Linked DNA regions of Caenorhabditis elegans. The protein of the gene in region 1 purifies or fractionates together with the protein of each later gene. This does not show direct contact. Each region holds a gene or a part of one and is shown in the gene's direction. Other genes may lie near its edges.

What was found. The genes of interacting proteins can lie anywhere in the genome.
Region 2: the proteins of pud-2.2 (region 1) and alh-8 fractionate together in Caenorhabditis elegans (co-fractionation; one large-scale study listed by BioGRID). This does not show direct contact.
Region 3: the proteins of pud-2.2 (region 1) and exc-15 fractionate together in Caenorhabditis elegans (co-fractionation; one large-scale study listed by BioGRID). This does not show direct contact.

What each region holds. Positions count from the first base shown.
Region 1 is NC_003283.11:2,318,448-2,326,143, forward strand, and holds pud-2.2 (Up-regulated in Daf-2 domain-containing protein), read left to right. Parts: upstream 1-4,566; coding exon 4,567-4,819; intron 4,820-4,865; coding exon 4,866-5,077; downstream 5,078-7,696. Other genes in the region: Y19D10B.6 (Peptidase_M13 domain-containing protein), read right to left, coding at 246-383, 434-610, 782-895, 955-1,101, 1,226-1,436, 1,480-1,781, 1,868-2,089, 2,138-2,248 and 1 more; pud-1.2 (Up-regulated in Daf-2 domain-containing protein), read right to left, coding at 3,591-3,790, 3,837-4,092; pud-3 (Up-regulated in Daf-2 domain-containing protein), read right to left, coding at 6,187-6,705.
Region 2 is NC_003280.10:11,727,331-11,731,698, forward strand, and holds alh-8 (putative methylmalonate-semialdehyde/malonate-semialdehyde dehydrogenase [acylating], mitochondrial), read left to right. Parts: upstream 1-1,724; 5' UTR 1,725-1,748; coding exon 1,749-1,775; intron 1,776-1,935; coding exon 1,936-1,992; intron 1,993-2,046; coding exon 2,047-2,219; intron 2,220-2,266; coding exon of another isoform or gene 2,267-2,276; coding exon 2,277-2,784; intron 2,785-2,842; coding exon 2,843-3,292; intron 3,293-3,346; coding exon 3,347-3,703; 3' UTR 3,704-3,868; downstream 3,869-4,368. Other genes in the region: F13D12.5 (uncharacterized protein), read left to right, coding at 1-119, 172-559, 607-706, 754-996; F13D12.8 (Col_cuticle_N domain-containing protein), read right to left, coding at 3,896-4,089, 4,347-4,368. UniProt on the Caenorhabditis elegans protein: Probable malonate and methylmalonate semialdehyde dehydrogenase involved in the catabolism of valine, thymine, and compounds catabolized by way of beta-alanine, including uracil and cytidine.
Region 3 is NC_003283.11:4,481,867-4,487,043, forward strand, and holds exc-15 (NADP-dependent oxidoreductase domain-containing protein), read left to right. Parts: upstream 1-1,592; 5' UTR 1,593-1,638; coding exon 1,639-1,774; intron 1,775-2,249; coding exon 2,250-2,587; intron 2,588-3,349; coding exon 3,350-3,798; intron 3,799-4,472; coding exon 4,473-4,551; 3' UTR 4,552-4,677; downstream 4,678-5,177.

The sequences.
Region 1 (7,696 bases):
CCCTTTAAAGCCGTAGAAGCGTAGAAAAAATGCACTGTATGTTTTGAATCAATACAGAGTTTTTTATTAGTTTAAAAGTGTACTTTAAAAAAAAACATATAAACTGAAAGCATACAATTGATGAAAAATGCGTTTTAAAAAAACATACGAAAACCAATGAAACGCTGGGAAAACATCAAGTTATTATAGATAGTTTAAATATCGTGTATTTTGCATGTAAATGTTGAATGATGGTCTCAAAAAACTCAATTTCTAAAGGAAAAATTAAATGCATTTGCGGTATCCATAATGTAAGTAAAGAATCCACCAATATCTTCAGTATCATTCTTGATTTTATAGTCCTCCAAATTCACTTCGCCTCCAAGTGGTTTGCAAAATTGTTCCTAAAAAAACTGTTATTCTGTATTTTCCCTTTTCATCTTAATTTCCGCACCGCTTCAGCAAACATTCGATCACCAAGGCGACATCCATAGAGTGAGCTGAACAATGGATACTGGCGAACTGCGGTGTTGATGGATATTTCAAATGGATGATGGTGTGGTAAAATTGAGTTTTTTGGTTTGCCTTGGATGCATAATCCACTCAAAAGTGTTTCAAGCGCATTTTTCAGCTGAAATATTTAATTTTTTTACAGTGACGGGAGCAAGTTCTAATAGTAAGTACAGACTGTGGTACAAATTAGCGAATTTTTTAAAACTTAATCGTTCCACTTGTGTGCTCGTAACAAATACATTGGAGCATTTCAATGCCTCTGATTTTATTTTGCTGAAATATTTCTTACCTGCTCTTCACTTGCCGATTTCCTTGCCACCATCTTCATAACCATCCTTAATCCCATTATATTTGCAAGATCCTCATGAGTGACTTTTTTACTAAACCATCCATCTATTGGCTTCTGAAACCGTCAATTTTTTCAGAAGTATGTTCGGAAAAAGCCGACAGTCGCTAGCTTACCACGACATCAGAGTCACCCATCCTCTTCACTTCATCTTGTGTACACTTTTTTGCTGCTTTTGTAACATTAGGAGTCAGTAACTCTGTTCCGCTTGGATAGACAAAGTGCATAAGCTCATGGGCAAGCACGGAAACGGTGTCGGCTATCTGGAAAAGTGCAAAATAGACTCGGCATTTTCAGGTAAGTTTTTTGGTGACTGAATTTCAGATTTAAAAACCGTTAGTCAGCAAAAAATACTAGAATAAAAATTAATGTTCAATATTTCCTCACCGCTAACATAGGTTGTTGTAAATCACTTCGGGTGACAATTCCAGCATAAATAGCTGAGTTGTGCTTAAACGCTTCATTTTCCATATTCGACGCAAAAGCGGAGAACAAAAACTCTGGTTCATAGCCCGGAATTCGTTTCGCCAAGTACTTTGTCGCGGTATCAATGGCTCCTAAACGGAGGATTTTCTCCGCGATTTCGGTGTCAAGATCACTGAAGACAAATTTTAAAAGTTTGTCTTCAAATATCAACTTACTCTGACGACAATAAACTTTTGAGTCGATAATATTCCGTCTCGTAAACGAGTTTAGTTTCCTCTAGCATTGTGACATTATTATAATCCAAAAGTCCGAAAAATACTTTTGAGTTGTTCAGTTCTTCATCAAGTACCTTTTTACTTTTATTTGATAAAGAACTGCTCCAAATCTCCTCGATAGTATTATTTTTCAATAGATTGGAAATATGATGAAGAAATTTATTTTCTTCGGCGGCTGGAAGATTAAGCTGGTTGAGGACCTTGATATTGGCGTAGAGAGAATTGTAGAAAATATTTGTCAACTGGAAAAACTATGTGATAAAATAGAACAAATAGGGTATTAGCAAGATATGCTTCACCATTACTTGTCCTGAAAATAAATATTTACCGTTAGATTAACGTTTTCCAGGGTCTCCACCGCAAAACTGAATTTCTCCGAATCGTTCTTTTTGCTAATATATTCGTAATGCGTCTCGAAAAAATATTCTAAATCCACGGTGGCCGTATCCAGTGATTTAACCGTCATATACCATTTCATCAAGCGATCCGGCTCAAGAATCTGATCTAATGCGATGTAGGTCCCGTTATTCGGAAATGAGATGTTCGGTTTCTGAAAAATTGCTGGGTACTATAGGATAAATGGCAGGAAGCAAACTACCAATATCTCTCGATCATCGAATAAACTTGCGAAGTTAAGCTTAGTGATACTTCTGGTGTCATTTGTGCACACATAATCATAGAAGTCGTTGCAAGGATCCATACTAGCATTCTGAATACATTTTGTAGTTTGTAGTTTATTTAGCAAAGTCTTCCTGAATATCGACAAATTCTAGGTTAAAGTCTTGAAACTTGAAACAAAAAATGGGAAACCAAAAAATGTCGAAAATTTTGACGGTTTTTTAAAAAATTGAACAAACCGGGATCTCTATATTCTTGATTTTTTGAATAAGTCATTTTCAAAAAAAAAATCACTGTCAATTAGTGTTCGAACTTAAGTAGATTCAATTTGATAATACCGGAAAATTCTAAATTTTCAGTATTTTTTTTGTTTCTTTTTGTGATTACTTACCTCTTGTCTACTCCGCACTATAATAGAAATTAGGGTCAGTATCAACAAGAAGTTCATGCTTGGTTAGAATTAGGAGTAAAATGAGAAAAAGCATGTGTTCATTTGTACGCCACATGTCGGAGCAACCTTGTTCTTCAAGTTTATCATCTAATGTTAAAAATATCTCTAAATCGCGAAGATCCAGACCAATGCAAAAAAGAGACCGATTTTATCTTTTCAAAACTCATTAAAAAATATCAAACTTGGCAGTTTTGCTTAAAAATTGAAAACATCTGAAAAAGTCAAATGTGGAATATTATGAGTCTGTTTTCTAAATGAAGTTCAAAATCGATTTTTCGTAAGATTAAAAAAAATCAATTTGTCTCATGATTTTTCCAATTAGTACTGAATTTACCAGATTATTTTTTTGTTCAAAAAATAAAACCTGCACTTTTTGGAAATGTTTCAAACTTTAAACTACTTGAACTTGATAATGTAATTTTTTTACAAAGTTCTCAGGAATGATTTTCAGTCAACTATTTTATTCATTGGCTCGATTGAATCAAGTTTGAGACTGATCTGAATACCTGACCTGATTTTGTATTTTTATAAAAATATTTTTCAGCCAAATTAATAGACAATTTTCACTGACAACATTCGTTCAGTAATTTGAAAATATTTAGCCATTCGAAAATATGCACCTGGGTCGGGATAGCTCAGTCGGTTGTGGTGGCCGTTCGCAACCTGGGAGTCACGAGTGCAAGTCCTAGTTCCCATTTGCGCTGTCGTATATTTGTTATATTTGTAAAAAGAAATTGGACATAGTGGAAAGATAGAAAAGTGTATAAAAGGTTGAAACGGTAGATTTCCTAATACAGAAAAAGCTAAAATTCTACAATTACTGTTGATGACAATTATCTAGCTTCAATCAAAAATTAGCTTTGCTTGGAAATAGTTTTGAGAATGAATTTTATTTCAAAAAAAAAAGCTTAAGAAAAGTACTCCTACGAAGAATATCGCTGCTCAAACAGAAACTCAAAGTAACTACAAATAAAACATGAAATCAATATTTAGTGAAAGTGGTAGTCGATTCCCCACTTGGAGAGATGAAGTGAATTTCGGTTGGGAAAACACGGATCGTGGTAGTTTTTCCGTCATCTTCAGCTGTTAGCATATGCTGCTTCCATGATCTCGAGTCACTGATGAATTTCGCATGCTCTATGTAGGATTTCTTTCCGATTTGGTGACCTTTGTTATCCACTTCTGAAATTTCAAGTTCTTTATTCTCAAAAGATAAAACTCCACAAACCAGTTCTCTCCTGAACCATCGTACCATCCACTAGCCAATTGTCAACTCCAGTTGTCAAGAATCCAGTGTTATAGGCGACACTTTTGAAGATTTCCTTGACTTCATCAGGCTGGAACATCACAACATCAGACTTATCCGCATCCCATCCAGTGTATTTATGTGTCACTTGAAACTTGAAGTGACTTCCAGTCTGATTATCAATTGAAACCTTTGCAGTGCGTCTCGTGAGTTGTGGTGGAGTTGGATCAGTCGACATGATCAGTTTTCAGTCAAGAAACGATCTGAATTATCAGTTGATACGGTAACCATTTTAAACTAAACGAGGAGGTGGAGTTATTGATAAGGAATGCAAGTGATCTTCTCTCTTTGACTATTTTTGTGGTTTGATTGTTTGTGAAATTGATAAAGAACATGAAATTGAACAGTTTGCCTGTTAGTTTCATGTAGCATGAACTATGATCATGAAAATTGATCATAAAGTTGTGCTTTCTTTTGGTACACCTTTGGTTTCTTGACGTCAAAACCGCAGACACGTTGCTTGAAAATGACAAAGAACACAAAGTAATGACAGATAAGCATAGACCAAAGGTTTTATATCAGTATTGAAACATTATCTATTGACAAGTAATGTGCTTAACTCCACCCACTTGAACTGCTTTTTAAAGTCAGTTGGAAATACACGAAATCAATCGAAACTCAAGTGAGTCGATTCTCTTCAACGTTTCAAGAAATGGCAAGCGACGAACCATCAGGTGTGACAGAACAATGGGCCAAAGTGGATATTGAGAACAAAAGTGACCATGTGTTCAAGTTCCAAGTGCTTCATCAGTATACCGGCAATGCATTGGAAGCTTCAAAATGGGTGAAATTGGAGCCAAACCAAAGTGCCCAAATTCTGGAGAAAGTTCACTACAACACTGGACCATTTACAACTGGTACTGATAATTGGAAGGTTCATGGAATCAAACAGATTGAGACAAACTGTAAGTTAACTTATATTTTGATAGTTTTGAAGGAATTAATTTACAGTAGACGATAAGAATGGAGTGGTTGATGGAAAGGTTCGTATTCTCGGTGAAGCTTGGCGTAGTGGACATCCAGATGGGGCTGATTGGAAAAAACACACTTTGAGAGTAGAAGACCATGCCCAAACTACAGTAATCAAGGTTCTCGAGAAAGAAGTTCAATTTGTATCCAAGAGTGGAACATCGACTACTGACTTCTATAGACATGATGTTTAAATTTTCAGTCAATAATTCTTATCAATAGATTTTCTTTAAAAGTTTCAATAAATTTATTGTAATTTATCTAATATAATTTTTCATGCGTACCAATCAAACTTGAATTCTAAACCCTGAGCTCAAAAACAGTCCACTAGAAGTGATTTACACTTTCTGAAGTTTTCTGAGCGGGCCCTATAAAATAAAATACATTTTTGAAGAACATCATATCGAATCAGGAATTCTATTCCTTACCAGAGTGCCTACCGGTGCCTACACCTAATACGTAGTAGAGACATTAACCGTGTGAGACGTTTTACATTATGTACGCAAGTAAGTAATACAAATATGATTTTTAAAAAACGTATTGCGTTTGGAAATATATCGGCCTATTTGTGCTCAGAGACAACTTAATGTATTGAGGCAGATTGTTATGTATTGAGGCAGAACGAGGAGGCGAAGACGAGTAGTTTATTATTACATTAAACTAAGGAATAAATAAGCTAGTTCATAGAGTTCACGTTGTACGATCTTTTTAGCCACGTCGTGGGTCAATACACGTTGATACCCAACAATTTTGGTGTTACTGTAGGTGACTTCTTTGGTAAATAAAACTTCTCTGTTAAATCCTGTTACTCACTTTTTTGATCTTCACATACCCCGGTCTAATTGAACTCGAGTCACTTTATTTTCACTTCGTTTCTTCTAATCCCTTCCCCCCGCCCATTTCTCATACTCGAGTTGAAATCTTTCAGGGTTTGTCTCGGTTTATAAGTTTATTTTAAAACTAAAAAAGGTTTCTGATTCAATATAACCTTTGAATAGACATCACACTCCGTTCTGACTGAATACCAACTAATTCTGCCATGTATTCCATATCAGCAAACCAAAAGAGGCGGAACCGGCATATTGCTGACAAACAATTTTATGATCTTTCTCCTTCTCATTCTTCTTATCAGTACTTTGTGGTTTGGTTCAATGTGTTGCGATTTGAAAATACAAAGAATTCGTTATCAGTGTTTATAACTCTATCACCAATAAAATATGAAGTTGGCAACTTTAGGTTAAAGTCCACAAGAAATTACAATAATCCATTACAAATCTATTCACCATTATAACTCGATAATTATTCACTGCTTCTGTGGGTTTTGGGAGAATGGGAGGATGTTTTCTCCAAGAGTGTTGAAAGTGGTAACCGATCGTCCACTTGGCGAAATGAACTGAACCTCAGTCTGAAATACCTTGATCACAGTTTCCTGTCCATCATCATCAGCTCTTAAAGTGTGCTTCTTCCATTTAGCAAAAGCTCCATGCCCCGTACTGTATGGAAGTCCGTCGACAAAGAACTTGCCGAAGATATTTCTAGCAATAGTTCCTTCCGTCTCGACCTGGATCAATTTAGTGCCATGAACCTTCCAGTTATCAACTCCAGTTGTGAAGAATCCGGTATTATAATATATCTTCTCGAAAACAGTGATTCTATCATCTGGCTTGAAGTCGATATATCCAGAATCATTGGTTTGTTCCCCGGTGTATTCATGAAGAACTTGAATTTTAAAGTGTGATCCTGTACGGTTCTCAACGACAATCTTTGCCCAACGACGGGTGAGTTGAGGAGCCTGGGCGCATGGAGCAGATGGAGCAGTCATCTGAAATTTTAACATAAATAAAACCAATATAAATGGATAATTTTACAAAAAAAATGAAAGAAACGTTTAATCAAATTTAACAAAAAAAACTTATAAAATATTTCGTAGTTTTCAGTACCCCAGTCCCATTTTTTATAGTCCCCCGAATAGGCGTGGAAAGGATCATGCCATTTGAAAAACTATGGTATTGGTCTTTAACCTAAATTTGCCAACTCCAATTTTATTGTGATAAACATTGATAACTTCGTAGTTTCAATCAAATCTAAACACATCGCACTAAACCACGAAGTACTGATAAGAAATTGTTAAGGAAAATCTCGAAGATCACTAGTTTGTCCCGCCTCTTTCGGATTCTTTAAAAGGACTACTGTGGAGGTGAAAAATTCGGTTTTTCTAGGGGTTAGGGGGCTTTTATGTGAATAGTTAGGTAACTGACTGGGTTGTGCAGCTCTTTCCTCGGCGCATCTGAAAATTCCATTTTCAAAGAGTTTGCGAATGCTTATACTAGTTGCCGTATATTCTCTATTAGTGCTGCATATCCAGTAGTACTGCAGTCTCTAATAGTGCTGCATTCAAAAAGTGAACGAAAAATAGTGCTGCAGTCTCTATTAGTACTGCACCCCATTATCTATTGACAGAGTCACTTGACAGTTTCGATGTTTTTGGGTACTTTTTTGTATATTTTTGATAATTTACGAAAGTTATTGAATTATTGGGTCTTTTTGTTACAAAAGTTCGCAATTTTAATGAATTTCTGCTTAAGAAATGAGCTTTTGTGACTAAAAACTAGTGATCTATAATTAAAAATAGCCGTTCGAAAATTAATGCTGCAGTCTCCAGTAGTACTGCATTAAAAGAGGGCCTGGAAATTAGTGCTGCATGCAGCACTAATAGAGAATATACGGTGAATAGCTGGAACAATAAGCTTATCATTAAAAATATACATTTTGAAAAGTGTACACAATGTTCCATACCATTCGCAATGTGCCGA
Region 2 (4,368 bases), on another chromosome or scaffold:
GGCGAAGAGAAATCTGGCCCGTTCAATGTTCGACACGACTCGACACATGCTTTACCTGGACTTTTCAGCTCCTCCATTCTACGATATCGAGCAAATTTACTTGCATGGCATTTTCAGCGGTAATCACTTGCTTAATAAGCCTGCCTTTTAATCATAATTTTTTATTTTCAGATCGATTCGACAAGCTGCACATCGCAAAGTACACTGGCCACGCTGTGAATGGACTGTTCGATTGGGTCGAGGATCCATACACCGATGCAGTTTACTACAAGGAGCGAATTAATGGCCACGTGGAGATGTTCCAAGCAAAAATCAAAGATGTCGTGCCGATTATCACCGGAAAAATGGCTGGACGACGAATCGAAAATTCCTTGTTGAGCGGCGAACTCCAAGGTGTCTCGAACGGAGTATTCTACGAGACGAGTGTGAGAGATGTCAACGAAACGCATCAGACCCTGTCCTCAACGCTGACAACACTCGATTCGGAATGGAGTATCACTTGTAACGCGGAGACGATTTACAGTGTTGTTCCGAAGACCAACAAGCTCCTCATCATCAGGTTTTGAAGAAATCATCGATCTTCGAATTTAATATTCATAATTTCAGGGCCAACGATTATTGCATGTTGAGAGATGGAAAGAATTACAACAAGGAGAGCTGTGAAAACGAGCAGGCAGACTACCTGGCTCGCAATAATCCGTCTGAGGTGAGCTGGTTGTGTTGAAGAAATTTATAAATTAAATATATTTCCAGACCGACAGCAATGTGAACGCGATGATGTGGCTGATCGTGTTCTGCGTCGTCTTAATCCTTCTCGTGATTCTCCAGTGCGTCTACATCTTTTGGCTCCGATCGTCCTTTGTCTCGGCTGACGAGGCCTCTCATCATCAGGATCAGGAGACTGAAGCCTCCATCTTCATCGCGAAACAGCGCAGCTTCCCAGCGAGTTTCCATGAGCCAGGACTTTTGGATGTCTCCGTCGACAAGTGGAATTAAATCATTTTTATTTGAATTTATAGCATTCTCGTTCTTTTTCAATCTTTTCTAGCCTTCTATCCTTCTAGACACTAGACACTGTCATATTCTCATCTCATAATTTTTAATTTTTTACTTTTTTTTTTGTCACATTTCCTAGCACTTTCTGTTTCTTTTTTTTATATAAAATTAAATATTCCGCATTTTTATTTGTTTTAATTAATGATCTTTATCTTAACGTTGTTTATTCACCAACACTATTTTATTTTTGTATTCGAGTTTTCGAGACGCATCGATCACGTTTCTCCAAGTGCACACGGGTCAAATGGTGGGCAGTTGCAGGTCTCTCCACGTGCTGTGGCCGTCTCTTAGTCTCTTGCACTATCACTTTTCCCACTCTCTGACTCTTTTTTATTTCTTTTTCTTCTTTTTTTGCTGAGAGAGAGAGAAAAGCAACTGTTCTTCTTCTTCTGTCCTATTTGCCACTCCTCCCGTCGTCTTATCAACAGCATTGAAACTTCAAAAACTCGCAGATAGAGCTTTTAACCTTTTAATTTTCAATGTTCGCGTGTATTTTGTGGCTTATTTTATTTATTTCTTAGTTCAAAATTCGAAACGTGATCAGTAATGTTTAGTTTTCATTCATTTCGCATTATCCGAATCGTCAGAACCACCACGCGACCGCCCATCTCTTGTGATTTTCAATTTTTCTTCTCGTGCGTTTTCAGTCATTATCTTCTAATTTTCAGCTCTAAAACTTGCGGTACCCCAGAATGTTGTCTCGTCTTGCTCGTGTTCAGGTAGGAGTTTCTTTTTATAATATTTTTTAACAAAAAATCGTGTACTTCACACATCACTTGCAGTCTGTGCGACAGTTGTCGTATGGGGTGACACATTGAAAAAGAAAACGAAAATCAAACAATCAAAACTTCAAAACTTCAAATAATATTCTAATTTCAGCCAAAATGCCAACAGCTCGCCCACTTCAGCACATCGAAGTCTGCTGCCGCCGCACCAGTGAGTTTCAGGCTTGATCTTAAGTTTCCAAATCCAAATTCCATAATTTTTCAGACTGTCAAGCTGTGGATCGATGGACAAGCTGTTGAATCGAAGACCACCGACTTCGTGGAGCTCACCAATCCAGCCACCAACGAGGTCATCGCTATGGTGCCAAACGCCACCCAAGCTGAGATGCAAGCCGCTGTTGACTCGGCCAAGAATGCCTTCAACACCTGGAAGAACACGTGAGTCTTGAATCCCGTGTGATCTTTTTTTTTTATTTCAATAATAGAAGTTTCCAGATCCCCACTGACCCGTCAACAATGCATGTTCAAACTTCAAGCCTTGATCAAGAGAGACATGAAGAAGCTCGCTGAGAGCATCACCATTGAGCAAGGAAAGACCCTTCCAGATGCCGAGGGAGACGTCAGCAGAGGTCTTCAGGTCGTCGAGCACGCTTGCTCCGTTCCATCCCTGATGATGGGAGAGACCCTTCCAAATGTCTCTCGCGACATGGACACCCACTCCTACAGAATCCCACTTGGAGTCACCGCCGGAATCTGTCCATTCAACTTCCCGGCTATGATCCCATTGTGGATGTTCCCAGTCGCCTTGGCCACCGGAAACACTATGGTCATCAAGCCATCCGAGCAGGATCCAGGAGCAGCTCAGCTTCTTGTCGAACTTGCCAAGGAGGCCGGAGTTCCAGATGGATGTGTCAATATTATTCACGGACAGCACTCTGCTGTTAACTTTATCTGCGATAACCCAGATATCAAGGCTATCTCATTTGTTGGAGGAGATGCTGCTGTAAGTTTTTTTGAATTTGTTTTTTATGAACATTAATCAATTTTCATGATTTTTTCAGGGAAAACACATCTACGAGCGTGGAGCCAAGAACGGAAAGCGCGTCCAATCCAACATGGGAGCCAAGAACCACGGAGTCATCATGGCTGATGCCAACAAAGAACAGACCCTCAATCAGCTCACCGCTGCCGCCTTCGGAGCCGCCGGACAACGCTGCATGGCTCTCACCACCGCTGTGCTCGTCGGAGAAGCTCGCGCCTGGCTCCCAGAACTCGTCGAGAAGGCCAAGAACTTGAAGGTCAACGCTGGATGGAAGCCGGATACCGACATCGGACCACTGATCTCCAAGCAATCCAAGGCCCGTGTCCTCCGTCTTATCGAGAGTGCCAAGAAGGAGGGAGCTCAGGTTCCACTTGATGGATCCAATATCACTGTTCCAGGATTTGAGAATGGAAACTTCGTGGGACCAACGATTCTCGCTGGAGTCAAGCCAAATATGACTTGCTACAGAGTAAGATTTTGTTTTTTTTTAAATTTGTTTAATTTAATATTTAATTTTTTGTAGGAAGAAATCTTCGGCCCAGTCCTTGTCGTCATGGAGGCCGAGAACTTGAACGAGGCCATCGAAATCATCAACAACAACCCATACGGAAACGGAACGGCCATCTTCACCAGCAACGGAGCCACCGCCAGAAAGTTCACCAACGAAGTCGATGTCGGACAAATCGGAATCAACGTGCCAATCCCAGTTCCACTCCCAATGTTCTCGTTCACCGGCTCGCGTGGTTCATTCCTCGGAGATCTCAACTTCTACGGAAAGGCCGGAATCCAGTTCTACACTCAATGGAAGACTGTCACTCAATACTGGAACGAGTCGCTCACCGAGCTGAAGCCACAAATGTCGTTCCCACAGCTCAAGTAAATTGAAATTCTGTGAATTCTGAATTCTCTCATCCATCCCCACACACAATCACTTCTTGGTTCTTTTATTCTTGTTCAATAACGTTTATTGCCATGGTTTTTTGCAACCTCTCATTTCTTGTTTGTTCATATATAATACACATTTTATCATAAAAGTGACGATTAGACCCGTAAATGGAATGGGGGAAAATAATCACAGTTCAGAGAGAATCGTATTCGAATGATTGAAATCATAATCAAAACGTGGATAGTAACTATTCGGATCGGCAATCTGTTTATCATTCCGTTTGGAACGAGCCGCCGTGGGTTCGTCGATTTCCAAATCCGATTCCTCATCCTCCTCACTATTTGAAGTTGGATCTAGCGTGACGGCGATTATGATTATACCTGGAAAATATAAAATATTATTGGGACGTAGAAAAAATGCCCAATCAACGTGAAAACGCCCTCCACGGCAAATTGAAAACGCTCCGCCTCCTAACCGTGGGTCTCATTAGGTATTCTACCAAAATTCAGCATTTTCAATTAGCTTCAAGTGGTAACTTTCAAGTTACCAGTTTTTCCTAACGAGACCCAACTATTTGAGGCGGAGCGGTTCCAATTGGCCGTGGAGCGCATTTTCTGCGTCTTCATAATAATCTAACCTGTGATAAGAAGAGCAACACT
Region 3 (5,177 bases), 2.2 Mb from region 1:
AAATTTTTCATAATTGCATAGAACATTAAAAACATTACAAAAAACATCAAAAAAGATGCAGCACGAGGAACCTGACATCTCAAATACACACTGAATTATGCCCTTCTCGAGTGATCTGCTTTCGGAAGATAGCTATCGAACCCGGTAGATCAGCCTCTCGTAGATCAAATATGCGTGATAGATTGAAAATTAATCCCGAAATGTTCTTTAATATTGTAGATTCGTAATCTGTGAAATCGAAGAACCACGCTATCAAGTTTTGTTTCAAAAACTGGAAAATGCTGAACCCAAGTTTAGGAATTTTAAGAAATCGTGTACTTACCTCAAATTTTTATTTTTAATTTTCAGTAGAGGCTAGTTAGACACTTTTAGTTGCTTGGCCGTTAATCAATGGAAATTTAATAATTTATACTGTACATATGTTATTTTTCTCTATTTTTTCCATTTTATTTTCGGCAACCGGTTTTTGGAATTTTTTTTGTCAGATTTTTACAGTTTATGTTCTGGATGGGATTGTTTTTTTTAATCTCAAAATTTTTGCACGTTTCAGGTTTCAATATCATTTTACATATTCAATGAGAAATCAACTTTTCTGCAGAAGCCAGCGTCCACTTCAAAATAATTTTTGAACGGTATAGCAAATTGATAATAGTTAAGATTTCAACAACCAGGCTGTCACATAAAAATTGCACTCTATAAAAAATCGGTTTTTCAAAGAATTGGCAAACGTACAGAACTGTTCATTTCAGTACGAAAGTATAACTTTTTCAAATCAAATATTTAAAAAAAATGTAGAAAATTGTTTGTTCAATCTGAAATTTTTATTCATTTTTATTTGAAAGTTTAAAAAATACCTCAAACGGTCGTTGAAAATTTCAGTTTGCTGTGAAAAATTCAAAGTAATTTTTGCACAAAACAACAATTTTAAGGCCCTATTTAAAGTTTCTTTTAGATTTTTCAACAATAAACTTTTTATTTTCAGAAGGCCTTTCCGGCATTTCTATTTTTTTTTTTTTGACTGTAAATATAACTTTTTAAAACAATTTTTGAAAATTTTTACTATGATATTTCCTAATTTTGGCACGATATTACGCTACTTCACCTTTTAAAAATTTTTAATTTGTGTCTTTTGTTGTTTTTTCATTACTTCAAACGATCAAATAATGATTTTCGAACTCACCCACTTTTCGGTCATCTGACAACACTTTTCCCCTCTTATCTAGGCGTCCTTCATTTCAACGTCGTCCACTTCCTACTACTGTTTCATCACATGAACATCTATCTGCATGTATTTCAAATTTCTGTCAATAGTCTCAGTTCTCACATTGCCACAAACAAAAACAATTGTCATGTTTTTGGAATTTGCATGAAAAAAAAGTGAAAATTGGCCTCCGCATCATTGAACATTTTCCGTTACGGTCTTTTCATCTTTTTTCTATTTTTCCGGCATTCATTTTTTGTGACTGAGCGAAAACCGTTTGTTCATCTCTCGTCTCTATTTCTTGCCGATGGTCACAAAATACCTCTTATCATTTATTTTGTTTATCATTTTGTCATCTATTGGTTTAAACGTAGCTTCTCCTTTTACATTTATCAGTTTTCTGCTTTTCGGTCATATTCATTTTGAGTATTTGCAGAATGACCGTAGACTCTATTCCATTGAATACCGGAGCTCAGCTTCCACTTTTCGGATTGGGAACGTGGCAGGTGAAGGATGAAGCTGAGCTGACTGTGGCTCTTCGTGCAGCTCTTGATGCTGGATACAGACTTATTGGTGAGTGCTGTCCTAGATGGAAACCATAATTTTTTTTTAGTCATGTTTTCTTTTCTTCTTCCATTTGAGATGTCACAAAAAAATAATTGGAAAATAAAAACCGATTTAAAAAATGTTATTTTTGGCCAAAAACGGAAAACTCAAAAAAAAAGTGGTGGCTTGCTCAAACCAGTTAATTAAATTTTTTGCACAATTGAAAAAAAACATTAAAAATTTTGAAATTTTTTTCCAACATTTTTTACATTCGGTAACTACGACCCATTTTCAAAAAACCGACAAACTTTACTCACACCTTTAACTTCAGATTTTCCCATTCAAATTCTAGGTATTTTTCTACTTTTTGACACAAATGTTGAGATTTTTTACGGTGTCCAGTTTTTCGAGTTTTCGAATAAAACCATTGGCAAAGTTGATCCTTGGAGGGCAGTTTTGACAACGTTTTGACAACTGAAAATCCCATTTTTTCAATATTCAGACACTGCTCACCTCTACCAAAACGAGCACATTATTGGAAAAGTGCTCCATGAGTACATCTCATCTGGAAAACTGAAACGCGAGGACATCTTCGTCACCTCTAAACTTCCATTTACCGCTCACGCCCCGGAAGATGTTCCAAAATGTGTGGAAAGCCAATTGAAGGCGCTTCAACTTGAGTATATTGACCTGTATTTGATCCATTGCCCATTCCCATTCAAACATCAGGAGGGAAGCTTTGCTCCATTGATGGAGAATGGAGAGCTTGCTGTTACAGAAATCGCTCATATTGATACATGGAGAGCGTTGGAGAAGTTGTACAAGGAGGGAAAGCTTAAGGTTTGTGAGATTTGGTCTTGAAGGAACATCAGCAATTTCGATTTCCATAAAGTAATTGAATCAGGGGTGGGCGGCAATGCCATTCGGCAAATTTTTTTGTCGACAAGTTCGGCAAAACGGCAAATTGCCGGTTTGACGGTTTGCCGGAAGTTTTCATTTTCGGCAATTCGCTGATTCGCCGTTCGCCATTATATAAATTTGCCGGAAGTGTTTAGAGGGAATTTTTTATAAGACGGAAGCACTTAACACTGTGTCTTTTTGAAATTTTTTCCCGTTTTCATTAAACATTTTCAAAGGATTTGCTTATTTTTCAAAACAGATGTAGAAACATTCATAGGATGCGTACAATTTTGCCGATTAAAATTGAAATTCTGAAATTTCCAAAAAAAAAAGTGCAAAACCACAATTTTTCGAAAATTATTGGCCTTTTTTCCGGCAAATTCGGTAAGCAATTTGTCAGTTTGCCGATTTGGCGGAAATTTTTAAACAGGCAGTTTGCCCGAAAAATCGTTTGCCGTCCATGTGATGAAAAGTTTGTATTAAAAATGTTCTTATTAAATTTTTTCTTGAAAATTTCCAGTGGTTTATTCAAAAAATGTAGTCAAAATTAGACCCACCGGGTGTCAGCTGCTGTAACGTTTTTTGGAATACATATACTTATAAAATTTCAGCAGAATGTAGAAAAATTAGTTGCCAATATTTTGTTAACTATCCATGTTCAAGTTACACGTAGTGTTCTTTCTCCAAAAATATAATTTTCAGGCCCTTGGAGTATCCAACTTCAGTTGCAACCAGCTTCAAGCGCTCTATGACGCCGCCGAAGTGAAGCCAGCCAACCAACAAGTCGAGTGTCACATCTATTGGCCACAACAAGAGCTCCGTGCTCTGTGCAAAAAACTCGGAGTCACTGTTACAGCATACGCACCACTTGGCTCACCAGGCAGAAAAGCTGCTCGTCCGGACGGTGTCTGGCCGGAAGGTGACCCACTTCTCGAGCCAATCGTCAAACAACTGGCTGCCAAGTATCACAAAACTGCTGCACAGATTCTCATTCGCCACCTGACTCAACACGGTATTTCGACGATTCCGAAGAGTGTCAGTCCGGACAGAATTGTTGAGAATATCTCGACGTTTGATTTTAAGCTGAGCGATGAGGATATGCACACTTTGAACAGTATCGAGACCAGAACTAGACTTTTCATCGCTGATTTGTAGGTTTTTTATCTATGGAACGAATGTTTTAAAATTAAAAAAAACCATTTCAAGTTTGAAACTTTTATATTTTTGTCGAAATTATTTCCCCTCCACTCGCTCACTTCAGGATATTTTCCCGTCAGTGGGCCGGTAAATCTTCAGTAGTCCAAACCAAGAGTGCGCTGCAATTGGCAATTTCATCAATTGCCGGTTTTGAAAAATTCCGGCAATCGGCGATTCCGGCGATTGCCGAAATTGCAGAAATTGTCGATTGCCGGACATTTTCGGCGATTTTCAAACCTAACTATATTTCGGAAATTGAAAAAATTGCAAATTGGTTTTTAGTATTCAGTTAGTCATTTTCTGAAAGAAAGCGTTAAATCCATCAAGGATTCAATCATTTTGAGCTTGAAAAAGGAAAATTGTTCCTTAAAATGCATGTTTAGGCTAAAATTATATTTCCGGCAATTCTGATTTCCGGCAACTGGCAATTTTGGCAATTGCCAGTTTTGGAAATTTTCGGCAATTGACAATTTTGCCAACTGCCGAAATTTCCAAAATTGGCAAAAATTCGATGGTCCAAACTCAAGAATTCCAGCTCAAAATTATACAATCCTATAAACAAATTAAATCACACTTTTCCTCGTGTAGTACACAAAGCTATGCAAATTATCATTGTATAATTTTTCAGCGCTGTCAAGCATCCATTCTTCCCACACGACGACATTGACACCTCCAAAGTTCCAAAAGTTGGGATCAGACTTCACTAGACTTTTGGCTCAACTTGTGAATTAGAAAACAAAATGGATTGTAGAACTCTTTATCGCACATTTCTTATTATGAATATTTGTAATTTTGATTCGAAATAATGAAGTACATCATATATATATATATATATATATATATATATATATATATATATATATATATATATATATATATTTCCCGCATGTATTTTATGGTCGAATATCAGGGGATAAACCAGTCTCGGAAGTGTTGGCGAAACAATAAAAAAAAACAGTTGATGATCGACAAATAATTGGACAACAGGTCTCGTCTCACTTCAAAAGGTTTCCGACGAAGAGGACCATCGACCTTGAGACCAAACAAACGACAGATTTTTGATTGCATAATTGAGGATGAAGTGAAGGCACTTCTTTTTTTTGGTGTGCATATCAGATCATAGGCGACTACATTTCGGCACCTCATTTGTTTCCTTACGTTATTCCACACTTAATCTGCCAAAACAGTTTGTGGGGGTACAGGTGGTGGGATTTGGAATGAGTTCCTATAAATAATTTAGGCAAATTATGAATGCTATAGGAAATTTCAATTTTTTTTTGAGATGAAAAATGATGAAGTAGAATATTTAAAAAAAAAACAATTTAAATTAGCA